Linked DNA regions of Stegostoma tigrinum. The protein of the gene in region 1 interacts with the protein of each later gene in a biochemical or structural test. Links are inferred from orthologs where the notes say so. Each region holds a gene or a part of one and is shown on either strand. Other genes may lie near its edges. The genes, in order: bmpr1ba, bone morphogenetic protein 2-like and gdf5.

Region 1 (7,923 bases):
CTTAGTGAATTCAAATTTCACTATCTTCTATGTACCCAGAACATTAGCCCAAGGCGCTGGATTACATTAAGTGGAGTGACATTATCATAGTGATATCACTTCCGCAACAATCATACTTGTTCACCTCCCTCCAGATTACCACCGGTATCACTCGAATCAATAGCCTTAAGCAAAAATAATAACAATTGAGTTAAATATTTGTTTCCCTCCTGTATTACACACAGTACTGGCAATAGCTCAACTTGAAATTATTTATGGAAATTAAGAGTTGCAATATAAGTACAGAAAGGATGTGATTGAACAGTAAAAGAAAACACATTAAAAAGGATCAGCAACAAGCAGGGGGGTTAGACATCAAGTACAACCCATGGGGAGAATATATGCACATAACAGGAGACTAATGTTTGGAGATTGACTAAATGTGGTATCAGGTCTCATTTTAATCAAAGGCACTCTGATACAATGCAACAATTGACAAACTATGCCAGTATAGATTGCGAAATATCAATTCAGCCTTAGCAATCTTAAATAAATTGACGTTGAGAGTATTAGCAAACAAAAGTTGCTAATGTGCAATTGAAAATAAAATTCATTCTGCACATAGGCCATTTTTCTAAAATAAAGACTCACAAGCAATCATTCAAAATTCTATGTAGGGAAAGCCAGAACATTTTTAATTGAAAAAGAATACTGAATTCTTACCTTCAATACTATCACCTTCCTGTACACATCTAAAACCAGATACAATAGGGGTATTTAAAGGACTTTTAGATAAGTACATGAAATTGTAAGGAATGGAGGGATATGGACCAAGGGCAGGCAGAGGGATTAGTTTAACTTGGCATCATGTTTGGCACAACATCATGGGCTGAAGGGCCCATTCCTGTGCTGTATTGTTCCAGGCTCTGCTCATTTATTGTGGTAATTTCTGATCAATTGTAACTTTTTTTACATGAAAGTAGCATGAACTTTAATTTGTGTGCCTGATTTACCCAGAACACATGGAGCCAGACTATACAGTATTCACAAAGGCAGAAAAGGATAAAAGAAAGTAACTATTGAACAATTAGACTCATATCAATACTAAATAACATACTAGACACTACAATGTGGAATAAGATTAGTGAATATACAAAAGGTGTGACTAACAGAGTTAGTCAACATAGATTGCAAGGAAATGTCAATGTTGATTAATGCTTTGAGCTAAAACAGAATGCAATTGGTACTGCATATTTGTGCATTCCAGAAAAGAATTCCTAAGGTAAAAGACATGTTTTTTCTGTGGAATTTTACATTTCCAATCCAATTATTTGAAGTAATAACTTCTCTAAGCATATCTCTAATACAACGGTAACAAAAGGCCAGAATTCTCTTAATTTTGATACATATAGTATCAGATTTTTATTAAATTAATATTTCACCTTATATATCCCAATACAGCAGTAACAGAGCATTGCCATGTCAGAGTCTTGATTTCAGATGAAGCTAAGCCAAAGCCCTGTCTGTCCTCCCAGATGGATAAAATATCCCACTACACAGGGGGAAAGCAACCCATGGGACCTTTTACAGAGAGCTAAGAAGATGGATGGAATTGGCTGTAGATGGATATCTTTAAAAATACAATCAGGAAATGACTGGTTTTGGTGCATTACCAGGATAAGAAGTGCTAAAAAAAAGACACAATGGCCGTGAATGGTAAATCTCAAGTATTTGTATAATTCCACACAACTCAGTCTTCATCAATCAACAGACGTCCAACGTGTGTCTGCTACACCCAGTTATTTACTATTCTCTTGTAAAAAGAAAATCCAAACAACTGTCACTTTTTTTTGAATAGCTTGTTCCCTGGATACTGTAGACAATAGTTCATTCACAACTTTTTTGTTCTTTTTACTCACTTCCAACTCTAGCACTCTTCTAAAGGATAAGAAACTACCAGCTACAAAAATATTTTAATTATCAATTAACCTGCTAGAGTTTTACTGATTTTGTATCTATTTCCAAGTTGTCTTGGCCTGATAATGTTATTGGTACCATCAGATGTATTGCAGGAAAGACCTGTAGTGGAACCCTAGTACAGTATTGTACATAGGGACATACAGACGACAGTTGAAAGTGGAACTATTGAGGTTTTTGGCTGCTACAATTTCAGTCAACAGAAGCTATTTCAACAAGTGTATTACTTAGTACTGACTTTTGAATTATTACAACAGTATGTCAGACAAAGTTAGACAGTTCCTGTGATGCGTTTTATGAGTTAATGCTATATAAAAAAGTCCATCAATCACATTACACTATTCCCGTATATGAAGTGAAAAAAATTCAATACTTGATTTTCTTCTGACGCAGTTTATATGAATAAGTCATTGATACATTGATAGTGTAGTATGTGGGGTGACAGAAAAAAATTCTTGCACTCCTTTCCAACTGAGCTGTTCCGTCAAGTTGGTTTTTTTTGATATGATGGTTCTGACTAATTTCTCCACTTATTAAGTATCACAGAAATACCAAGCGTGTACAGTCATAAACATTCTCCACTGAAGAAAATGAACAGAGAACGTGATTCACAGACAGGAAGAAAAACTTCCCTCAATACGAATTGAAAACTTCCTACTCAGTGAACTAATCTAGGTGTTCATCTTTAGATCGGATAAAGACAACAAGAGTGAAATCCTTCCTAATGATAATTTGGTCCCAAAGATACGATGTTGTGCAACTTGCCCTAAAAATCTCTGCGTTTTAGCATTCAAACTGAACAGTATTTCGAAATTATAAATTCAAAACCTACTCACAATCCATGAGGTTTAAGATATATTCATACTCTGAATGCATTCCAAACGTCACCACAGTATTACTATCATTGTTAATTTTTGGTAGTATTTTCTTAAAACATCAAATGGATTTTGTGGCAATATTCTCCCGTATAAAATTTGGAAGGAGCGTAGGGAACGAGCGCCTCCTTTTACTTTTAGATATGTTTGTAGGTCTCACATATGCACATTTAAACACACACACACAGGTACCTTCACTGGAAACTCCAGCACTCTCCTTTTGCCCTTCTTCAATCCCAGGCAATGATCTTTCGCCGCTGCTGATTGCTTCTTTCTTGCTTTGCTCCCACTTCACACGGGAACACTAGAAGTTGCTTGCACTGATGGGTTAAAACCAACCCCCCCTCCCTCCCTTCCTCCACCTCCCCCACTTTTGACTCTCACTCCTTCGGCGCGTCTCCGATGACTGACAGACGAGACTCGGGCTCCAGGCTCTCAGCAGCAGCAAGACGTCGGCAATCTCCGGCACCACGGGGCTTCGGCAATCTCCGGAGGCAATTCGCTCCCGGGGCTTCTCGTTTCAACACTCACGCTTCGGCAATCTCCGGCAATGGGGCTGAATTGGACCCTTGTCAATGTGACTCCCCTTCAAATAACAGCCTTTTCCACATTGTTTTGGTGAAACTCAACTGCTATCTTTGGAGACACAATGATTTAAAAAGGAACTGATAAGAGTGACTGTAATGTTTAACTTGTAACTTTGTTCTTTATTTGTTTCTACTTTGTCCTAAGGTTTTTGTGCCTAGGTACTTATAACTAAAATGATGCAGTGTTTGCCAACATTGAAAATGTTTCACTATACTCCTATACATGTACACATGACGATAAAGTCTAAATCTAAAGATAATATGCTCAAATAAAGAAAAGGAGCAAAGGTAGATGTATATGAAAGCTAGCAGGTCACATCAAAGTAAACAGGCTAAAGGCCAAATGCTGGAAAATAAGATTAGAATAGATTGAAATTTGATGATAGATGCAGACATGATGGGCCAAAGGACCTCTTTTTGTGCTGTTGAACACAATTGATTGATGACTATAAAGTGGACTGCTGCAGTTTAAGAAGGCCGCTTGCCCCCATCTTCTCGAGGGCACCTGGGATGAACAATAAATGTTGGCCAGCCAGTGACACCCACAGCCCTTGAATGAATGAGAAAAATAACAACAGGGAGATTGTTATAAATAAAAACAGAAATCACTGGTGAAACTCAACACGTCTGGCAGCATCTGTGGTGAGAAAGCAGAGTTAATCTCTTGAACCCGATGACTCTTCATCAGAACTCAAGAGTCCACTGATGTTGACTCCATGTCCTCACCATAGTGTTCAATTGGTTAAGTTAAAATTCAGAACGCTCATTGTGCAGAGTCACCAGGGCTGGTTAGTAATCTACCAGTTTTAAACTCAGCTTCCTTCTCCCTACTCCTGCCATCATTCCTCGCCAAATTCACACGAGAAAGCAGAACCATAGGAACCTTTATTTCAAAACTCTGCTCTATTTTGTTGTTTGCTGTCTCTCCAACCATTATATTTCCCAGATCCTAATATCAAACACTTGGTGACTTATTCCAGCCTCTCACTTGGAAGATCAATCAATTTTCTTTGATTTCCTTTCCTCCCTGTTCTCTACAAGGCTGATATAATATTAACTGGTACAGGTGATGATCAGGATAAGGACAAGAACTGATCAGACTGGAATGACCAAACATTATATAAAGCCTTTTTTTCAGGAGAGATGGTAGCATAGTCTCTGAATCAGAGATCCAGTCTAAACCTTGAGGTAACAAAGAGTGAAGCTGGATGAACACAGCAGGCCAAGCAGCATGTCAGGAGCACAAAAGCTGACGTTTCGGGCCTAGACCCTTCATCAGAGAGAGGGATGGGGTGAGGGTTCTGGAATAAATAGGGAGAGAGGGGGAGGCGGACCGAAGATGGATAGAGGAGAAGATAGGTGGAGAGGAGAGTATAGGTGGGGAGGTGGGGAGGTGAGTAGGTGATAGGTCAGTCCGTGGAGGACGGACAGTTCAAGGAGGCAGGATGAGGTTAGTAGGTGGGAAATGGAGGTGCGGCTTGAGGTGGGAGGAGGGGATAGGTGAGAGGAAGAACAGGTTAGGGAGGTGGGGATGAGCTGGGCTGGTTTTGGGATGCAGTGGGGGGAGGGGACAAGCCTCTCCACCTATCTTCTCCTCTATCCATCTTCTGTCCGCCTCCCCCTCTCTCCCTATTTATTCCAGAACCCTCTCCCCATCCCCCTCTCTGATGAAGGGTCTAGGCATGAAACGGCAGCTTTTGTGCTCTTGAGATGCTGCTTGGCCTGCTGTGTTCATCCAGCTTCACACTTTGTTATCTTGGATTCTCCAGCATCAGCAGTTCCCATTATCGCTAAACTTTGAGGTACATGGGTTCAAATCCCACCACGGCAGCTGTGGCATTTAAAATTCAATTTTTTTTATTCATTCACAGGATAAGGGCATCTCTGACTAGGCCAGTATGTATTGGCCATCCCTAATTGCCCAGAGGGCAGTTAAGAGTCAACCACATTGCTCTGGGTCTGGAGTCACACATAGTCCAAAAACAGGAGTAGTTGGAACATCTCAGCAGGTCTGGCGGCATCTATGAAGAAAAATCAGAGTTAATGTTTCAGGTCTGGTGACCCTTTCTCAGAACCTTCTGATATTTTCTCACAGATGCTGCCAGACCTGCCGAGCTTTTCTAGCAACTTCTGTTTTTGGTCTTGATATACAGCATCCGCAGTTCTTTCAGTTTTCACATGTAGGTCAGGCCAGGTCAGGATGGCAGTTTCCTTCATGAAAGGACATCAGTGAACCAGATGGGGTTCTCCTGACAATGGATTCATGGTCATCATTAGACTTTTGATTCCAGATTTTCTTTTTTAATTGAAGTCACATTCCACCATCTCCTGTGGCAGGATTTCCTTCTGGGTTCCCAGAACATTGCCTGCATCTCTTGGTCAATAATCCAGCAATAATCCAATAGACAACTGAGCCATTGCCTCCCTGATAATCTGACTTGTTGTTAGTTTCAGTCATGGCAACCATGAAACTAACACTGATTGCTATAAAAATAAAAACAACAAATTCCTTAATGTTCTTGAGGGAAAAGAAATCTGCCATCCTTACCTGGCCTGGCCTACAGTTGATTCCAGTAATGTGGTTGACTCTTAACTGCCCTCTGAAATGATCTAAAAAGCCAGTCCATTCATGGGGAAATGGATACAGTACAAATACTGGAGTTGCAAATGACACCTACATCCCATGAAAGAAAGTCAAACAAGTTGTTCAGTTTAAAGGGTGGTTGTGGATGAGCAATAAACACCGGCCTTGCCCATGTCCCAGTAAGGAATAAAAACTGCTCAGATGTAATTTGAGGTGCCTTATAGTTAACTTATAAATCTCTGAATATATTCAACTTCAGTGTTTCCTAAATTACTCTACAGTGTTCGTTTGCTCATTCACCATAGTGCAATTAGCACATTGTCCAGGCTGATACTTCCCAGTGCAGTGCTGAAGGAATTCTGCCTTTCGGATGCGATACGAAACGGAGGCCTCTCAGATGATCACGAAAGAATCCCATGGCTGCATTTAAAGTGGTTGATAAATGCTCTACCTGATGTTCTGGGCCAATAATTATCTCTCAGTCAATTCCAGAAAAAACAGATGGATTGTTCGTGATCACATTACTGCTTGTGGGAGCTTTATGTCACAAATGGGCTGCTGTGTTTGCTACATCATCACTGCGACGACACTTAAAACATGTTTGGTTGCTGTAAAACACACTTGGATGTCCTGAGGCTTGAAAAAATTTACGTTAATATTCTCTGAACCCTCTCAAAGACCTAGTCATTCCTAAAGGGTGATATCCAGAATGGGCTGCTACACTCCAGATGAAACTCATTCAGTCGTTTTTGACAGTTTCGCTGAATTTCCATCCTTTCACACACTGTACTTCTAATTATAAAGCCAAGGATTGTGGCTGTCATTTTAAACAGGATGCTCAACTCACCTCAAGAAGTCATTTGGGAATCAAAACGTCAATTCTGTTTCTCTCTCCACAGATTCTGCAAGACCTGCTGAGTTTCTCTAGTATTTATTGTTTTTATATCAGATTTTAGCATCCACATTATTTTGTTTTATTCTCAACTCTTCCTGCCTCGTTTAAAGGCCTGTACAGACAACAATGCCTGAGACTATGATGCTCTATCATTGAGCCCCTACAGTGTCAAAACAGCCCATTCGGCCCACCATGTCCACACCACCCCTCCGAAGAGTGTCCCACCCAGACCCAATCCCCTACCCCTACATTTGTTATGTCTAACCCACCTTATCTACACAACTCTGAAAACTACGGGCCATTTAGCATGGCCAATCCACCCAGCCTGCACATCTTTGGACTGTGGGAGGAAACCGGAGCACCCGGAGGAAACCCACGCAGACACGGGGAGAATGTGCAAACTCTACACAGACAGTCTGAAGCTATACAAGATAAAGTCCTTCAACACCGGTAGGCATCTCCTCACATCAGAGTGTTTAGTTTGCCATTTGGGAGGAGAAAAGGGCCTCCTGCCTCTTACCACCTTCCATCCACCATCCATCGATTTCAGGAATGTGACAGATGTAACTATTTTCATGAACAAAGATAAAGTATTTCCCTGATGCCCAAAGCAGGGATAATCCTCACACTTGGCATTCTCCTGAGTTTCCTACTCCCTGTGGCTGGCAAAGCTATGCCAGAGACATAGAGCGACTTCTAGAGGAACCACTAACATGGTTTTTGTGACCAAATTGATGATGAATATCAAGCACAACAACAGGAGCTTGTCACTGCCTCCATTCACCAGGATAAAACATTTGGTTCAGTAAATCAAGAGGCTCTGTGGATTATTCGCATACAGTTGGGAGTCCAAGAAACTTCATCGGAATCCTGAAGCCGATATGATGATATGACTGATGTGGAGGTGTCGGCGATAGACTGGGGTGGACAAGGTCAGAAATCACATGACACCAGGTTATAGTTCAACAGGTTTATTTGAAAACACAAGTTTTTGGAGTCTTACTCCTTCTTTAGGTGTTAGAGAGA
Region 2 (7,713 bases), on another chromosome or scaffold:
GAAAGAGAGAGAAACGGGGTTTATTGCAGGATCACAAACAGTAACACACACACACACACACACACACACAGATCAGAGACTTAAAGGGGTAAAAATAAGGAGAGCTATATAATGACATAAGGAGGAGTGGAAAGATGTAAAATTTAAAACATAAAAGCTTTTCCTTCCAGTGTGTAAAGAGTGAAACAAAAACATAGAAGCAGACTATTTTAAAAAAAGATCTAACTTTAATTCTGAATGAGTCAGCAACCAAGAAGTGGAATGACATAATTTTCTTAGGAGGAATACTAAGGAATTAAATAAAGCAAGGGAGACCAAAAGAAAGTGCACACACACGTGTGTGTGGGAGAGAGAGCCGTCTTGTTTATGTTTGTCTGAGCTGTTGTATCTGTCTGGAGTGGGACACATCAGATAGTTGAGGGGAGTGGTGGGGGTTGTCTGGATGGACAGCAGACGTATACAGGTGCTCTGTCTCTTTCCTGAGTCCTGGGTTAGGCTGTAGCAGAATGCATGCACTCACTCACACACACACACACACACACACACACACACACACTTGCTCCTGTGCCCGCGTTACCTTTCCCTTGAACAGGCGCCCCGCTCAGAGAAAGCAGCGGTCCATTCAAACGCGGGCAGCTCCGACTCGGTCCGCGGGCGCTGCCGCCCTTCGCTAGCCCCGTCCCCGGTTCACTCTGGTCCCCCCCTCCCGCAAATCGAGGCGCCGGAGCATCTGGTTTTGAGAGGCGGGAGAGGAAAAGTTCAGGCGATTATTTGTCTCTTCACCGCGGCTGCTTTTTTTTTGTTACATCCAGAAAAAAGGGAGGGAGGGTTGTTGGTAGGAAGGAGGTGAGTTCGGTTCCCTCTCTGACCCTCGTCTCGGTTTATCCCTTCTGAGTCTAGCACCGCCGCGGGACTCCGCCGAGCTATTCCCGTCCAGGGACCAGGAATCGAACCAGTTCCTCTCTGCTCTTCCCTGTGCCCCGCATTTGCTCGCTGCTTATTCCACACTTTCGCTCTCTTCCTCCCTTGCCCGGGTGTTGGGAAGCTCTCCAGAGGGCAGTGCAGCCCTTCACGCCCATCAACAGCAGGCGAAGAGGGGGTCAGAACATTGCTTTCAGATCTCTGTGTCGAAAATACACCCGAAAACGGCGACGGAGTCCAAGCAAATCGTCCGGTTCACTCACAAAGCCCCGGGCAATGAGCGCTATAGGAAAGTCCATCATTTCTTAACACAGTGGCCCATATATATTTATATATACATATATACAGTCACACACAACAAACACACAATCTAGAGTGAGTGAAGGGTTTCATATATATACATATATATATATATATATATTCAGTAAGGTTTTTGTTTAAAACGCTGATTCCCGCTTCTGCTGCATAAGTAATTGAAAGCGGCTTTATATATATACGATCTGCTTGCCGGCTGATGTCACGTCAATGACGCTTGATGCCAATCAAATGCGATAATTGATTCCTGTCACAATCTCGACATTGAGATCAGAGCAAGAGTTTGAATCTTTGACTTGGGTTGGGGGTGGAATAGCACAAAACATTTCTCTGCCAAGAGGATTAACGCCGGGGCAGCAGATTGGACGTTGCGTGATTTTATGTTTTATTTTTTGGTGTGTGTGTGTGTGTGTGTGTGTATGGGTGGGTGGGTGGGTGGGGGAGGCTTGGTGGGATAGAGAAATGGCAACTCAGCGCAGCAAAATATAAATGCCATTTTTTTTGTTAGCCACACGCGCCTCTTTAAAATATCCTTTCACACATACATAGACACCATCGCAGCCCCCACCCCACCCAACGCCCTCCAGACTGGCCCAGTCCAGCGCGCTTTCTGACCCCGGTGTTTATCCAAACCAAATCTACCGATCAATGGGGTCGGTCATTCGAAAGGCCAGATCCCGTTGATAACATAGTTGGGTTCTGCTTGTGAGGGGTGGGGGTTTGGGGCGGGAGAAGTCATCGCAATTAATTGAATTCTGAACTGTCCATTCCGCGCTCCCCTCCCCACAAATAAAAAGATCCGAGGAACACTTCTTAAGGCGATCCAGAATTCAGAAGCCTCTCTGCAGTACGTGTGAGGTTTATTTACTCTTGTTCATGCCGAGATATCATCTCGGCGCTCACAGCAATGGGATTGGGAACTCACGCTGGGACAGACACGGCTGGGCTCTCAGAAATCCACACGTTATAGGAGGTTCCATTCATCCCCAGAGGGTTGGGGGGGGGGGGAGTGGTGAGGGAGGGGTGGGGGTGGGGTGTCGGGAAATTGAGAACGGTGCGCTTTCCCCTCGGTGACAGGACCAAAGTCTGAGAGTTTAGCTCAGACTTCTATTCTTCGGCTGTTTTGTTCTGGTTTGGTTCCCTCAGTGAGGATTTCAAGAAGAGAGGTCACTCAGGGATGCAATGTTGGAAAAGCACTTGCCACTCGCTTTGGGATGTCTTGCCTCCCCCAACACCCCCTGAACGAAACAAGATTTTGGGTCTGATATATGTTCGACAAAGAGAGAGAGAGAGAGAGCCCAGAGCGCCAACTCCTGGTCAACACAGCAAAAGGCCAGAGGGTTGAATTTCCAGCTTGCTTTTACAACGGCTTCTTTGTACAACTCTCTCGGAACGCGAGAGAGAGAGAGAGAGAGAGAGAAGTAAAATCATCCTGAAACTCGGCTCAGCACAGATCGGAATCAGCTCCCTCCTCCCCCTCACAACACTCACCTCCCCCCACCCCCGTGACTTCCCTCCCCTCCGACACACACACGCAACAACCACTTCAATTTACAACTTTAAACCATCAATATATCGAAAACAAAAGTTTTAAAAACAATACAGACCGTACAGGTGTGACGCCGTGCACAGTGGGAAGAGGCAGTCTAAGATCAAGATAAAGTGAAAGAGAGAGAGAAGGAAATTTAAAACCGGCGGCAGAACATGTGTATGACAAGAGAGAATGTAGTAACGATTCTGGGACATGGCTGTGTATTAGGGATGAAAAGATGTGTGTGCTGTATGAAAAATAAAATCAAGTAAAAACAAAGGATGTACTAGGGACGAAATAAAGGTTAAGAGTAATTGTAAGTTTATCAAATAAATCTTGCACCCTCTAATCAAAAGCAGCAATTGGCTCGCTGCAGTTGAACGACTCAAATGACCAAATGAGTGAAATTTCAGATCTTCCCACTCCCCTTTACCTGATGGAGAATGTTGCATTAGACCACGCTGCTGCACCCCAAAACCCGGCTGCTCCTGTCAGCGGGATTTGATGAAAAAGTGCCGAACGGGAAGGAAAGGCGAATCATTTCACTGAGTGAGCAATCCCGGAGAGACCAGAAGTTAATCTTTGCATGTGTGAAACGAAACGCGAGATGAGGCTCCGGGCGCCCGATTTAAAGCATCTCGCAGCAAGTCAGTTCTTCCGAGTGAATGACTTCACAGTCGCTCATGTGAGGGCTCTCTCTCACTCACTCACTCTCTCTCTCTCACTCTTCTCTCTCTCTCACTCACTCACTCACTCCCCTTTAGTGATTCGGCATTGTGGCTGGCATTGGGAATGTTTACAGATATGAAGTGACTCATTCATTTCAGAGACGATCTTCATCTAACGTCATTACATCACAGTGGATTTTTGTATTTTTTTTAGAAAAACAAGGTTCTGTTTAAGAGTGTAAACAGGTTGACTGATGCTGTGTCTGTGACACAGAGAACTTCCTACATACTGTCATAGAGTTTCTCCGTCAGACAGAAAGAGAGAACTGTTGCTTTAAACAAAACTGCTCTCCTCAGCTCCCATTATCACTGCACTCCTCAGCTCCCATTATCACCGCACTCCTCAGACATCCGAGTGGGGTAAGGGGTATATGCATTTACCGCCAGCTATCAGAATTTTCAACAAGGTCCAGTTCACAAACGTCGGGACAAATATGTAAAACCCCACCGAGAGATTGAAATCGCTGTGTGACAGCGAAACCACAATACGCACGTAAAATCCTTAACACACATGGCAATCCTCAATGCACACACCAAATTCATAACATACACACTAATCCATAATACCGATGGCAGGCGGACTGATGTTATGGGTTACACACAACCACAAATGGCTGGAGAAGCTCAAGCAGGTCCGGCAGGGACAGTCAGAACTGCAGATCCTGGAGTCAGAGATAACGCAGTGTGGAGCTGGAGACACGCAGCAGGCCGGGCAGCATCAGAGGAGCAGGAACACTGACGTCTTGTGTCGGGACCCTTCTTCAGCATCTCTGGAGAGAGAAAGTTGAGTTAACGTTTCAAGTCTGGTGACCCTTGTTCAGACCTGCTGAGTTTCTCCAACAAATTCCGCTGTGTGTATTTCCCGATTTTTGTTTTATTTCTGACGTTGTGAATACCCGGTCGTTTTATAATTCAGTCAACATTCGTCAACACATACGTACGTGTGCATTAGACATCTCCCGGGAGCGCCCAGAGAGAACATGCATTGGGATTAATAGAGCTATTTATTAGTCTTATTTATAGCCCTGTTAATTCATACCTCACCTCTGTGCACCGTGACAGATCCAAAAGATCCCAATTCAGCCGTAACATCCAATTGCGCCCCTTCTCCACCACCCACCCCCCCCCCAGCACCCCACCATCTGATCTATCTCATTCCAGACACGGGTACAACATACATGTGTTCTGATTCCCCCTCTCTCCTTGTCCGCTTTAGTTTAAATGCCTCATTTCTCTATTTTGTCTCCTCTTCCTTACGTGCTTTCTAAGTTGTCCTGTTGATTTTTTTTGCTTAGAAAGCTGGCTGGAGAAACTGCCCCTTATTCTTAACCCGAATTTTCATCAATCTCCCCAGAACGCTTTACAAGCCTTTGTTGAGTTCCGCTCTCAGTTTCTGTTTTAAATATCCCGGACAACTTGCCCGCCGCCACTGCTTGTTCATTGAGTGGGTAGAGAGTGGAATCTCCTTGGAGAAGACGGAGAGACAGAAAGGACAGTCTAAAATCCACACTGCAGACGCTGGAAACCTAAGATATACACAAACACAAAAACTGCCTAGCAGGTCAGACAGTAGCCGCGGAGAGAGAAACTGTCAACGTTTCAGGTCTGGGAGCTTTCAGGAAAAGGGATCTAAGGAGTGATCTGATACATCCAGCATCTGCAGTTCCCATTATATCTGATACATCCAGATCTGCTGCAAGTTTGCAACATTTGTGCATCAGACGCTGATTGAATGGGCAAACGCGCCCTCCTCTGCTCCCCAGCGGTTCTGGTCACGAAGCCAGTCCCAGGTACCTTGCAAAGAGAAAGGAGTGAAGCACCGGACCAAGGTTTAAAACAGAAAGAAAAAAGACCACGCGCGGTCAAAGTGGTTTTCATATCTAGCCGGATGTGCGTGTGCCCTTTCAGAAAGACCATTTAAGGGACGTTAACGTTGTCTGAGAAGTGTTAACGTTCTCGAGAGCAGGCTGACTGGTTGTCACTTTTTGTTTGAACACACCGAGATTATATTGTGGTCTTGTATAAGTGAGATGAATTGGAATTATCAGAAACCCTCCGAAAATTCCATGAGTTTATGTGGACGGAGAGATATTTTTGCTGCCTACATTGAATCCTGAAACTCAAGTTGGGTTTTTAAAATTGGACCCAGTTAGAAAATCAAACTCAGCCTTTTCCCAGAAATTCTCTTCATTGATCTTGGTCTTTGGAATGGGACATATTTTGCTGCTATCTTCCTACAAAAATTTTCCTTGATAGGTTGGTCAATAGCAGTAATGCGTTATCTATGGTACTTCACCTTGCATCCTTTAGGGGTGTGTATTAGATGGTGTGCCCAGGAATGGGAAGTGATTCACCTTCCCGATTGTTCTCCAGTGCATAAAGCAGGATTATAACAACATAACTCAGAGATAGCAAGAACTGCCAATGCTGGTGTCAGTGTGGAGCTGGAGGAACACAGCAGGCCATGGTGTGTATATGTTCAGTAGCAAGGTTTAAGTTATGAAGAATTGCTGGATAAGTTGGGACCTTTTTCACTGGAGCTTGGGAGGTTGAGAGGCAACTTGAAGACAATTTCTAAATTAGAAGGGTATAGGTGGAGTTCATAGCAGTTGTCTTTTCCCTGGCATGTGGGATTTTAAAACTAGGAGGACACACTTTTAACGTGGGAGGAAAGAAATTTGGAAAAGATGTGAGGACAATTTTTTTTACACAGACGGTGGTTCCTGTGCGGAATGAACTTCCTGTGGAAGTAGATATGACTGCAATTGCAACGTTTAAAAGACATTTGGATTACGTACATGAATAGGAAAGGTTTGGAGGGATATGGGCCAAATGCAGGCAGGTGGGACTAGTTTAGTTTGGAATTATGTTAGGCATGGAGTAGTTGGACATAAAGTTCTGTTTCCGTACTATATGTCTCTATAACTGGGTGCCCCTCACCACCCAACAACAATGCTGTGTATTTACATAACACTTTGCGCACAGTAAATCATCATGAGATGCTTCTGGAAAGCATAAGCAGATCAAAACAGACACACCACACCAAAGAAGGGGACATTCTGACTGAGAACCAACAGATTCACAAAAAATCAGTTAGTTTCACAAAGGAAAGAAGAGGTAAGGAGGTTGAGAGAGGGAATTCTAGAACATAAGGTGAAAGTCACTGTCGTCAACAATGAGTAATGGAAGGAAAAGATGAAGAGGACGGCAGATTCTTCAGAGACTTTCCAGATTGGAGGAGGCTACAGAGATAATGAGGCTTCGAACAATGATCAGGCACTGCAATAATGTCCTCCATCATCATTAATCCTATATACTCATTGCCTAAGCAAATGTGTGATATATGTGCCCTTGGAAAAGGCATTGGTGAGCATCATAGGCCAGAATACATTGGTTTCTCCAAGCAGGAAGCGAAACTTCCTCCATCATAACACTCCCCTACATCTGATTGAGTTGATGCTACTTTCCCCACACTGGGTATTTGCAGCTTCTTACTCTCTTTGTGATGGTTGGAGCTAGGGAACAAGATCTTGCCTGTCCACTTCTTGAAGCTGCAACAGCTGCTGTTGCTCGGTGTTTTTGCCAAATGCTAGAGGTAAAGTCTAAATTTGACAACAAATCACAACCCTAAATGCTGACAGCTAAGAGGCTGCTTATCTAGGATCAACACAGCAAATTTTAATCAAAATTATTATGGTGCAGATTACTTTTATTGTTGCTTTGAACTGTTCCACTGATCTCAGTCACAGATCGAGCTGATAATGCAAGTTGCAGGAGGTGAGATTCAATCCAGCCAGAACACAGAAGCAGCTTTATTAGTCTGTAAATTGCATTTTCCGGATATTATCCATTTAGATCACCACTTCAACTCAATTGCTTTGGAGAAATTTGACAACAGCAATTTATTTTTTGGAGATTTACTGGTAACCATGTAAAAATGAAAGCAAATCTCTAATTAAAATGATATTTTATATTACTTATGAAGAACTAAGTTTGATTTGCAAACAGCTACTTAGTGTACAACCCTTCCAGGCCTCAGTAAAGTACAATTAGCTGTATGTGAGGTTATAGGATTATGCAGGATACAGGGTATCCTTAATCTGGTCTAAAGATGATTTTTGAAATTTAAGCCCATTAGGCAACAATGCTGTACTGTAGCACACGGTTTGAAAATGCTTCAACAACACTTTCAATAATCAATAGACTTAAATTCAGAAT
Region 3 (7,574 bases), on another chromosome or scaffold:
TGTTAATTAAGACTTGCATTGGTGTAATTATCAGAGAGGACCTTATTTCAGGAAGTCAGGATATAGAATCAGTTCAGTTGGAGATGAGGGATATTGCGGAAAAGAGTCACGAGTCGGAGTGGCCCAGGTCTCTTCACAATGATCATGATGTAATATACAAGAAGGAACACTGTGTTCTTGTGATGCAGTTTCACTGAGAATCACAGGAGGTTTTAATATACATAATACACCAGAAAAAAATCAGTGTGGCCATCTGGGATTTACAGGTTGCTTTTGGAGAATTGAACCACATTTGCAATGGATCACCGTGGATCTTAACAGGCGATAGTAGTGTGCAGTGTCAGCAGGCTGGTAACCAAGCCCTCAAGCCTGCAGAGACATGTGTGCAACCAACCAAGCGATAGTAAGAATTGCCAATGCTAGACTCAGAGATAACACAGAGTGGAGCTGATGAACACAGCAGCCCAGGCAGCATCAGAGGAGCAGGAAAGCTAACGTTTTGGGTCAGAACTCTTTTTGAAGCTGAAGAAGGGTCCTGACCCAAAATGTCAACTTTCCTGCTCCTGTGAAGTTGCCTGGCCTGCTGTGTTCATACAGCTCTACACTGTGCAATTAACTAAGCCTCATTAGCTGTGAGACCTGTGATCAAATTTTACTGACCCTTGCTTTGACAATTAACAATTCATATCACTCAGTAGTAATTGGGTGCTGGTCATCACTTGCTCAACTGATTGACTGGCTCACAACTTCAACTAAAATTTCATTTTGACTTGAGTGCTTTCTGTTTTCTCAATTGCCAGCACTATGCTTATACCTTGGCTACATTCTGGTTCTAGAAAAGGTCTTTAACCAGTGAGAGCACAACAAAAACAGTCTGAACTTGAGTTCGGGGTGTCCCCAGACAGCAGCAACGGACAATGCCCTCAGTATCCTTGTCAATCCTGACAGGAGATCTAAATAAGAAAAACAAACTGGAACAGGACACTGCCACCTACACACTCCACATTCAGGCCCCATTCCAGAGGCTTGAGTACAGAATCTAGCTGAAACTTTAATGTGGTACTGAGGGCATGCTGTACGTTTGGCTGGTGTAGCTTAATGCTACACCAAACTCATAACTAAGGCATCAGTTGTAAAAAATAGGTCAGCATTGGCCAAAGAAGTGATGGGGAGTTCTTCCTGGTGCCCTGACCAATATTTAATCCTCCAACAGTTTCGCAGAAACAGAAAATCAGGTCATCATCATAGAGTAATACAGCATGGAAACAGACCCTTCGGTCCAAACACTCCAAGGCTGTCAGTAATTCCAAACCAAACTAGCCCCAGCTGCCTGTGCCTGGCCCATATCCCTCCAAACATTTCTTATTCATGCAATTGTAACTCAAACCCCTCATTCCCATCAGCATCCTGGTAAATCTCTTCTGAACCCTCTCCAGTTTATTAATGTCCTTCCCACAAGTGGGCAGCCAGAACTGGACACAATATTCCAGAAGAGGCCTCACCAACATCCTGTACAACCTGAACGTGACATCCCATCTCCTGTACTCAAATGTCTGAACGATGAATGCAAGTGTGCTAAATTTCTTCTTAACCATCCTGTCTGTATGCAAAGCAAAGTTCAAAGAATTATGTACCTGAGCCCCCAAGGTCTCTGTTCTACACAACGCTCTACTTTTAGTTGTATAAGCCCTGTCCTTGTTTGTCTCACCAAAATGCAAAACCTTACATTTATCCAAATTAAACTCCACCTGCCACTCCATAACCCGCCGACCCAATTGATCAAGATCTCTTTGTACTCGTAGATAACGCTCTTCCCTGTCTACTGAACCCCCAATTTTGGTGTCATCCACAAATTTAATGAGTATGCCTCCTTACATTCTGATCTAAATCATTTATATAAATGATTACTTGATTGTCTGTGGGAGCCTTCTGTGAGCAAATTGGCTGCTGTGTTTTCTACATTATGTTACGCTACCGTGAAATAATCTATTAGCCGTAACGACGTCTGAGATGTTCAGAGGCTCGGAAAAGTGCTATTGAAATGCAAACCCTTTTCTTTCTGTAGAATAGACTGTTAGACAGAGAGAGGGTGTATGATGATCTGGGATAAAATGTTCAACAGAAGGTCTAAGGGTGACATTAAACGTTATACAAGCAAATATCTGCAGATGCTGGAAATTTGAAAGTAAAATATCAAATGCAGAAACATTTGGCAGCAATCTGGCAGCAATGGTGGAGAGAGAAGCAAGAATAATGTGACAGGCTGGGTGTATTTAAATGGTCATTGGATAAACATATGGATGATAATGGGATAGTGTAGGTTAGATGGGCTTCAGATTGGTTTCACAGGGCGGCACAACATTGAGGGCCGAAGGGCCTGTGCTGCACCGTAATGTTCTATGTTCCATATCTACTGGAGTTGAGAAGAATGAGAAATGATCTAATTGAAAACATATAAGGCCCTGAGGGGACTTGACAGGGTGAATACTGAGAGGATCAGAAACAGAAACAAAAAAATTCTGGGGAAACTCAGCAAGTCAGGAGCATCCATGGGCAGAAATCAGAGTTAATGTTTCAGGTCCATTTCCTCAGAATGGTTCTGTTTTTCTGCTTTCTCTCTACAGATGCTGCCAGACCAGCTTGGTTTTCCCAACCATTTCTGTTACTGATTTCCAGCATCTGCAGTTCTTTTGCTGTTTTTGTTTGATATTGAGAGGAGGATTCCCCCTTGTGATGTAGACTAGAACCAAGGACCCTCCAAGTTAAGAGGGAGATGAGGAGGAATTTGTTACCTCAGAGTCATCAGTCTTTGGAACTCTTCCACAGAGGTAGTTAAAGGGAGTGATTGAATATTTTTAAAGAAAGATTTAGATAAATTCTTGATATTAAGGGATTCTAAGGATGTGGGAGTAGGAGTTAAGGGTGGGGGTGAAGTCAGTTGGAAGAGAAATCAGTGTCAATGTCACAAACAGAATAACCATGATTCTATCAAATGCAAGAGTAGGCTTGAGGGGCTGAATGGTCTCCTCTGAATTTGTATATTGCTATACAAAGTAACCATAGGCCCAGAGGGCTTCTTATTAGAGAGAGAGAAGGAGAGGTCTGGTGCTCATTTAATCTGAGGGTCACCATGTGTCAGGGTGAGGGAGGAGGTGGAGAAGGAGAGTCCTTCATGGTAACCTCAAGCTCTGTAGGAATTGAACCCATGCTTTTGTTTCTATTGCAAATCAGCCTTCCAACTAACTGAGCTCAGCCGCAGGTCTGCAACCTTACACCAGAATTGAGAAATCGTAAGAATCACCAAATCATAAAAGATCAAGGTCCATGTTGTTCACAGTCTGCCTTCCTGGTGTGCACAGATTGCATGTTAGTGGTCTAATTGGAAAGAGTACAGAAGACGTTTACAAGAATTGTTCCAGAGATGAGAGACTCAGTGATGACGAAAGTTTGGATGGGTTGGGGCTGTTTCCCTCGGAGAGTTGAAACTGAGTTGCCAAAATAGGGGTGATGCAGTGGCTCAATGGTTAACACTGCTGCTTCACAGCACCAGGGACCCGGGTTCAATCCCACACTTGGGTGACTCTCTGTGTGAAGTTTGCCTGTTCTCCCCTCGTCAGCATGGATTTCCACCCAAAATCCAAAGATATACAGGGTAGATGGCTTGGCCATGGGAAATGCAGAGTAACAGGGAGGGGTAGGTCTGGGTGGGATGCTCATTTGAGGCTTGGTGAAGACACGATGGGCCAAATAGCCTGCTTCCACGCATTATATTCTATGATTCTAATGATGCTCATTTGGAGAACTAGTGGATGGGCTGTGTAGCCCCCTTGTGCACCATAGCATATCAGTGAATCTGTGACCCACAAACCTGTGATGGGGATGTGAGAGGGTGAATGTTACCAACTGAGCCTGGTTAGCACTGACTGCTGAGTCACTGGGGTGCGAGCACTAACTATTCACACTCGTCGATCAAACTTATCTTGCAAATAAACAAAATAATTCATTTGAATATGATGTAGTGGCAACTCACTTTATACACAAATACTAACACGCACAGTCTCAGGCCACTCACATACAGGAGGTCACTGCATTGAGACTTGACTATATTCTATCCCAGGTAAGAAAGAGGTTAATAATTGAATGCTTCAAACAGTAATTTCTATGATACACAAGGGAAATATTTAGCTCATCCCGAAATTCCAGCTTATTTGCTTGAAATGTTCCAGCAACCTTTAATTGTGTAAACGTGTTTTCCAATAAATGACTCAGATTGTGCTCCATCAGGTGAGAGCAGGGTAGGGTTTGGATATTCAGAGTAGTAGTGGTTAACTTTTTGTTTCAGCTTCTACCTGTCAGCAGTGTGCTAGACTTCCACAAGAGTTTCTTTTTCTAAATCCAAAAGTGAATTTCCGCTTTTTTAGTTTGATTCTTTGCTTTTTTCCCCCCTTTGTGTGTGTGTGTGTGTGTGTGTGTGTGTGTGTGTGTGTGTGTGTGTGTCTGTGTGTGTCTGTGTGTGTGTGTGTGTGTGTGTGTGTGTGTGTGTGTGTCTGACAGAGTGAAGTTTCACCACCTCAACATTTCTCAGGGTGACATTTTGAACTGAAAGGAAAAGTTCTGATAGGTCATGCTGCAAATACATTACAAAAGTTCAGTAAATGTTTCTGAAAGTTGCAGCAAAGCAAGTTGAGAGAGATGGGGGAGGATTGAGGCACAGAATAAGAGGGAGGAAGTGAGGCAGAGATAGGCATAGACAGAGAGAAGTTGGGGCATGCAGGAGAGGGGAAATGAGAAAGGGGGTGAGGGGGAGAGTGAGAACAGAGGGGTGAGGGTGAGAGTGGGAATGGCGATAAAGTGGAGGGGAGCTGGAGGAGGGAAAGGAGAGAGGGTAGAGGAGAAGGGGAGGAGAGACGGGGCATGAGTAAGTAGTGCAAAAGACAGAAGGGATGGGTGGGAGAAAATGGAATTGGTGAGAGTGAAAGGGATGGAGAAGGCAGAGTGTGGTGGAGATGGGAAAGATGGAGTTTAATTTAGATAAATGTGAGGTATTGCATTTGGTAAGACAAACTGGCAGGACTTACACAGTTAATGGCAGGGCAGTGTAGAGTGTTGTCAAACTGAGGGACCTAGAGGTGCAGGTCCATAGTTCCTTAAAAGTGGCATCACCAGGGAAACAGGGTGGTGAAGAACATATTTAGCACGCTTGTCTTCATTGGTCACAACATTTGACTGTCATTGGGACATCATGTTACAGCTGTACATGACATTGGTAAGGCCACATTTGGAGTACTGTGTACAATTAGATCACCCTGCTATTGGAAGGATGTTATTAAGCTGGAAAGAGTATGAAAAGATTTACAAGGATGTTACTGAGACTTGGAGGGTTTGAGTTATAAGGAAAGGATCGACAGTCTGGGACCTTTCTCCCTGGAACATAGGCAGCTGAAGTGCAACCTTATAGAGGTATATAAAATCATGACGGGCATAGATAAGGTGAATAGTCAAAGTCTTTTTCCCAGGGTAGGGGAGTCCAAAACTAGAGGGCACAGGTTTAAGGAGAGCGGGGAAAGATTTCAAAGGGACTTGAGGGGCAATCTTGTCACGCTGAGGCTGGTGTGTGCATGGACTGAACTGCCAGAGGAAGTGGTGGAGGTTGGTACAATTATAACATTTAGTAAACATTTGGACAGGTATATGAAAGATAATAAAATGTGAGGCTGGATGAACACAGCAGGCCAAGCAGCATCTCAGGAGCTCAAAAGCTGACGTTTCGGGCCTAGACCCTTCATCAGAGAGGGGGATGGGGAGAGGGAACTGGAATAAATAGGGAGAGAGGGGGAGGCGGACCGAAGATGGAGAGTAAAGAAGATAGGTGGGGAGGTAGGGAGGGGATAGGTCAGTCCAGGGAAGACGGACAGGTCAAGGAGGTGGGATGAGGTTAGTAGGTAGCTGGGGGTGCGGCTTGGGGTGGGAGGAAGGGATGGGTGAGAGGAAGAACCGGTTAGGGAGGCAGAGACAGGTTGGACTGGTTTTGGGATGCAGTGGGTGGGGGGGAAGAGCTGGGCTGGTTGTGTGGTGCAGTCGGGGGAGAGGACGAACTAGGCTGGTTTAGGGATGCAGTAGGGGAAGGGGAGATTTTGAAACTGGTGAAGTCCACATTGATACCATATGGCTGCAGGGTTCCCAGGCGGAATATGAGTTGCTGTTCCTGCAACCTTCGGGTGGCATCATTGTGGCAGTGCAGGAGGCCCATGATGGACATGTCATCTAGAGAATGGGAGGGGGAGTGGAAATGGTTTGCGACTGGGAGGTGCAGTTGTTTGTTGCGAACTGAGCGGAGGTGTTCTGCAAAGCTGTCCCCAAGCCTCAGCTTGGTTTCCCCAATGTAGAGGAAGCCGCACTGGGTACAGTGGATGCAGTATACCACATTGGCAGATGTGCAGGTGAACCTCTGCTTAATGTGGAATGTCATCTTGGGGCCTGGGATAGGGGTGAGGGAGGAGGTGTGGGGACAAGTGTAGCATTTCCTGCGGTTGCAGGGGAAGGTGCCGGGTGTGGTGGGGTTGGAGGGCAGTGTGGAGCGAACAAGGGAGTCACGGAGAGAGTGGTCTCTCCGGAAAGCAGACAAGGGAGGGGATGGAAAAATGTCTTGGGTGGTGGGGTCGGATTGTAAATGGCGGAAGTGTCGGAGGATGATGCGTTGTATCCGGAGGTTGGTAGGGTGGTGTGTGAGAACGAGGGGGATCCTCTTAGGGCGGCTGTGGCGGGGGCGGGGTGTGAGGGATGTGTTGCGGGAAATACGGGAGACGCGATCAAGGGCGTTCTCGATAACTGTGGGGGGAAAGTTGCGGTCCTTAAAGAACTTGGACATCTGGGATGTGCGGGAGTGGAATGTCTTATCGTGGGAGCAGATGCAGCGGAGGCGGAGGAATTGGGAATAGGGGATGGAATTTTTGCAGGAGGGTGGGTGGGAGGAGGTGTATTCTAGGTAGCTGTGGGAGTCGGTGTGCTTGAAATGGACATCAGTTACAAGCTGGTTGCCTGAGATGGAGACTGAGAGGTCCAGGAAGGTGAGGGATGTGCTGGAGATGGCCCAGGTGAACTGAAGGTTGGGGTGGAAGGTGTTGGTGAAGTGGATGAACTGTTCGAGCTCCTCTGGGGAGCAAGAGGCGGCGCCGATACCGTCATCAATGTACCGGAGGAAGAGGTGGGGTTTGGGGCCTGTGTAGGTGCGGAAGAGGGACTGTTCCACATAACCTACAGAGAGAACGCCCTTGACCGCGTCTCCCGTATTTCCCGCAACACATCCCTCACACCCCGCCCCCGCCACAACTGCCCTAAGAGGATCCCCCTCGTTCTCACACACCGCCCTTCCAACCTCCGGATACAACGCATCATCCTCCGACACTTCCGCCATCTACAATCCGACCCCACCACCCAAGACATTTTTCCATCCCCTCCCCTGTCTGCTTTCCGGAGAGACCACTCTCTCCGTGACTCCCTTGTTCACTCCACACTGCCCTCCAACCCCACCACACCCGGCACCTTCCCCTGCAACCGCAGGAAATGCTACACTT

The links.
Region 2: the proteins of bmpr1ba (region 1) and bone morphogenetic protein 2-like form a complex in vitro, tested with the Homo sapiens proteins (3 studies listed by BioGRID and IntAct, with this or other methods). The link is inferred for Stegostoma tigrinum from reciprocal best matches to the Homo sapiens genes BMPR1B and BMP2.
Region 3: the proteins of bmpr1ba (region 1) and gdf5 interact in a biophysical measurement, tested with the Homo sapiens proteins (3 studies listed by BioGRID and IntAct, with this or other methods). The link is inferred for Stegostoma tigrinum from reciprocal best matches to the Homo sapiens genes BMPR1B and GDF5.

The regions. Positions count from the first base shown.
Region 1 is NC_081354.1:6,788,245-6,796,167, forward strand, and holds the start of bmpr1ba (bone morphogenetic protein receptor type-1B), read right to left. Parts: upstream 3,141-7,923; 5' UTR 3,024-3,140; intron 1-3,023. UniProt on the Homo sapiens protein: On ligand binding, forms a receptor complex consisting of two type II and two type I transmembrane serine/threonine kinases.
Region 2 is NC_081362.1:10,207,777-10,215,489, forward strand, and holds the start of bone morphogenetic protein 2-like, read right to left. Parts: upstream 3,559-7,713; 5' UTR 3,201-3,558; intron 1,372-3,200; exon of another isoform or gene 578-1,371; intron 1-577. UniProt on the Homo sapiens protein: Growth factor of the TGF-beta superfamily that plays essential roles in many developmental processes, including cardiogenesis, neurogenesis, and osteogenesis. Induces cartilage and bone formation.
Region 3 is NC_081372.1:8,448,048-8,455,621, reverse strand, and holds the start of gdf5 (growth/differentiation factor 5), read left to right. Parts: upstream 1-4,054; 5' UTR 4,055-4,117; intron 4,118-7,574. UniProt on the Homo sapiens protein: Growth factor involved in bone and cartilage formation. During cartilage development regulates differentiation of chondrogenic tissue through two pathways.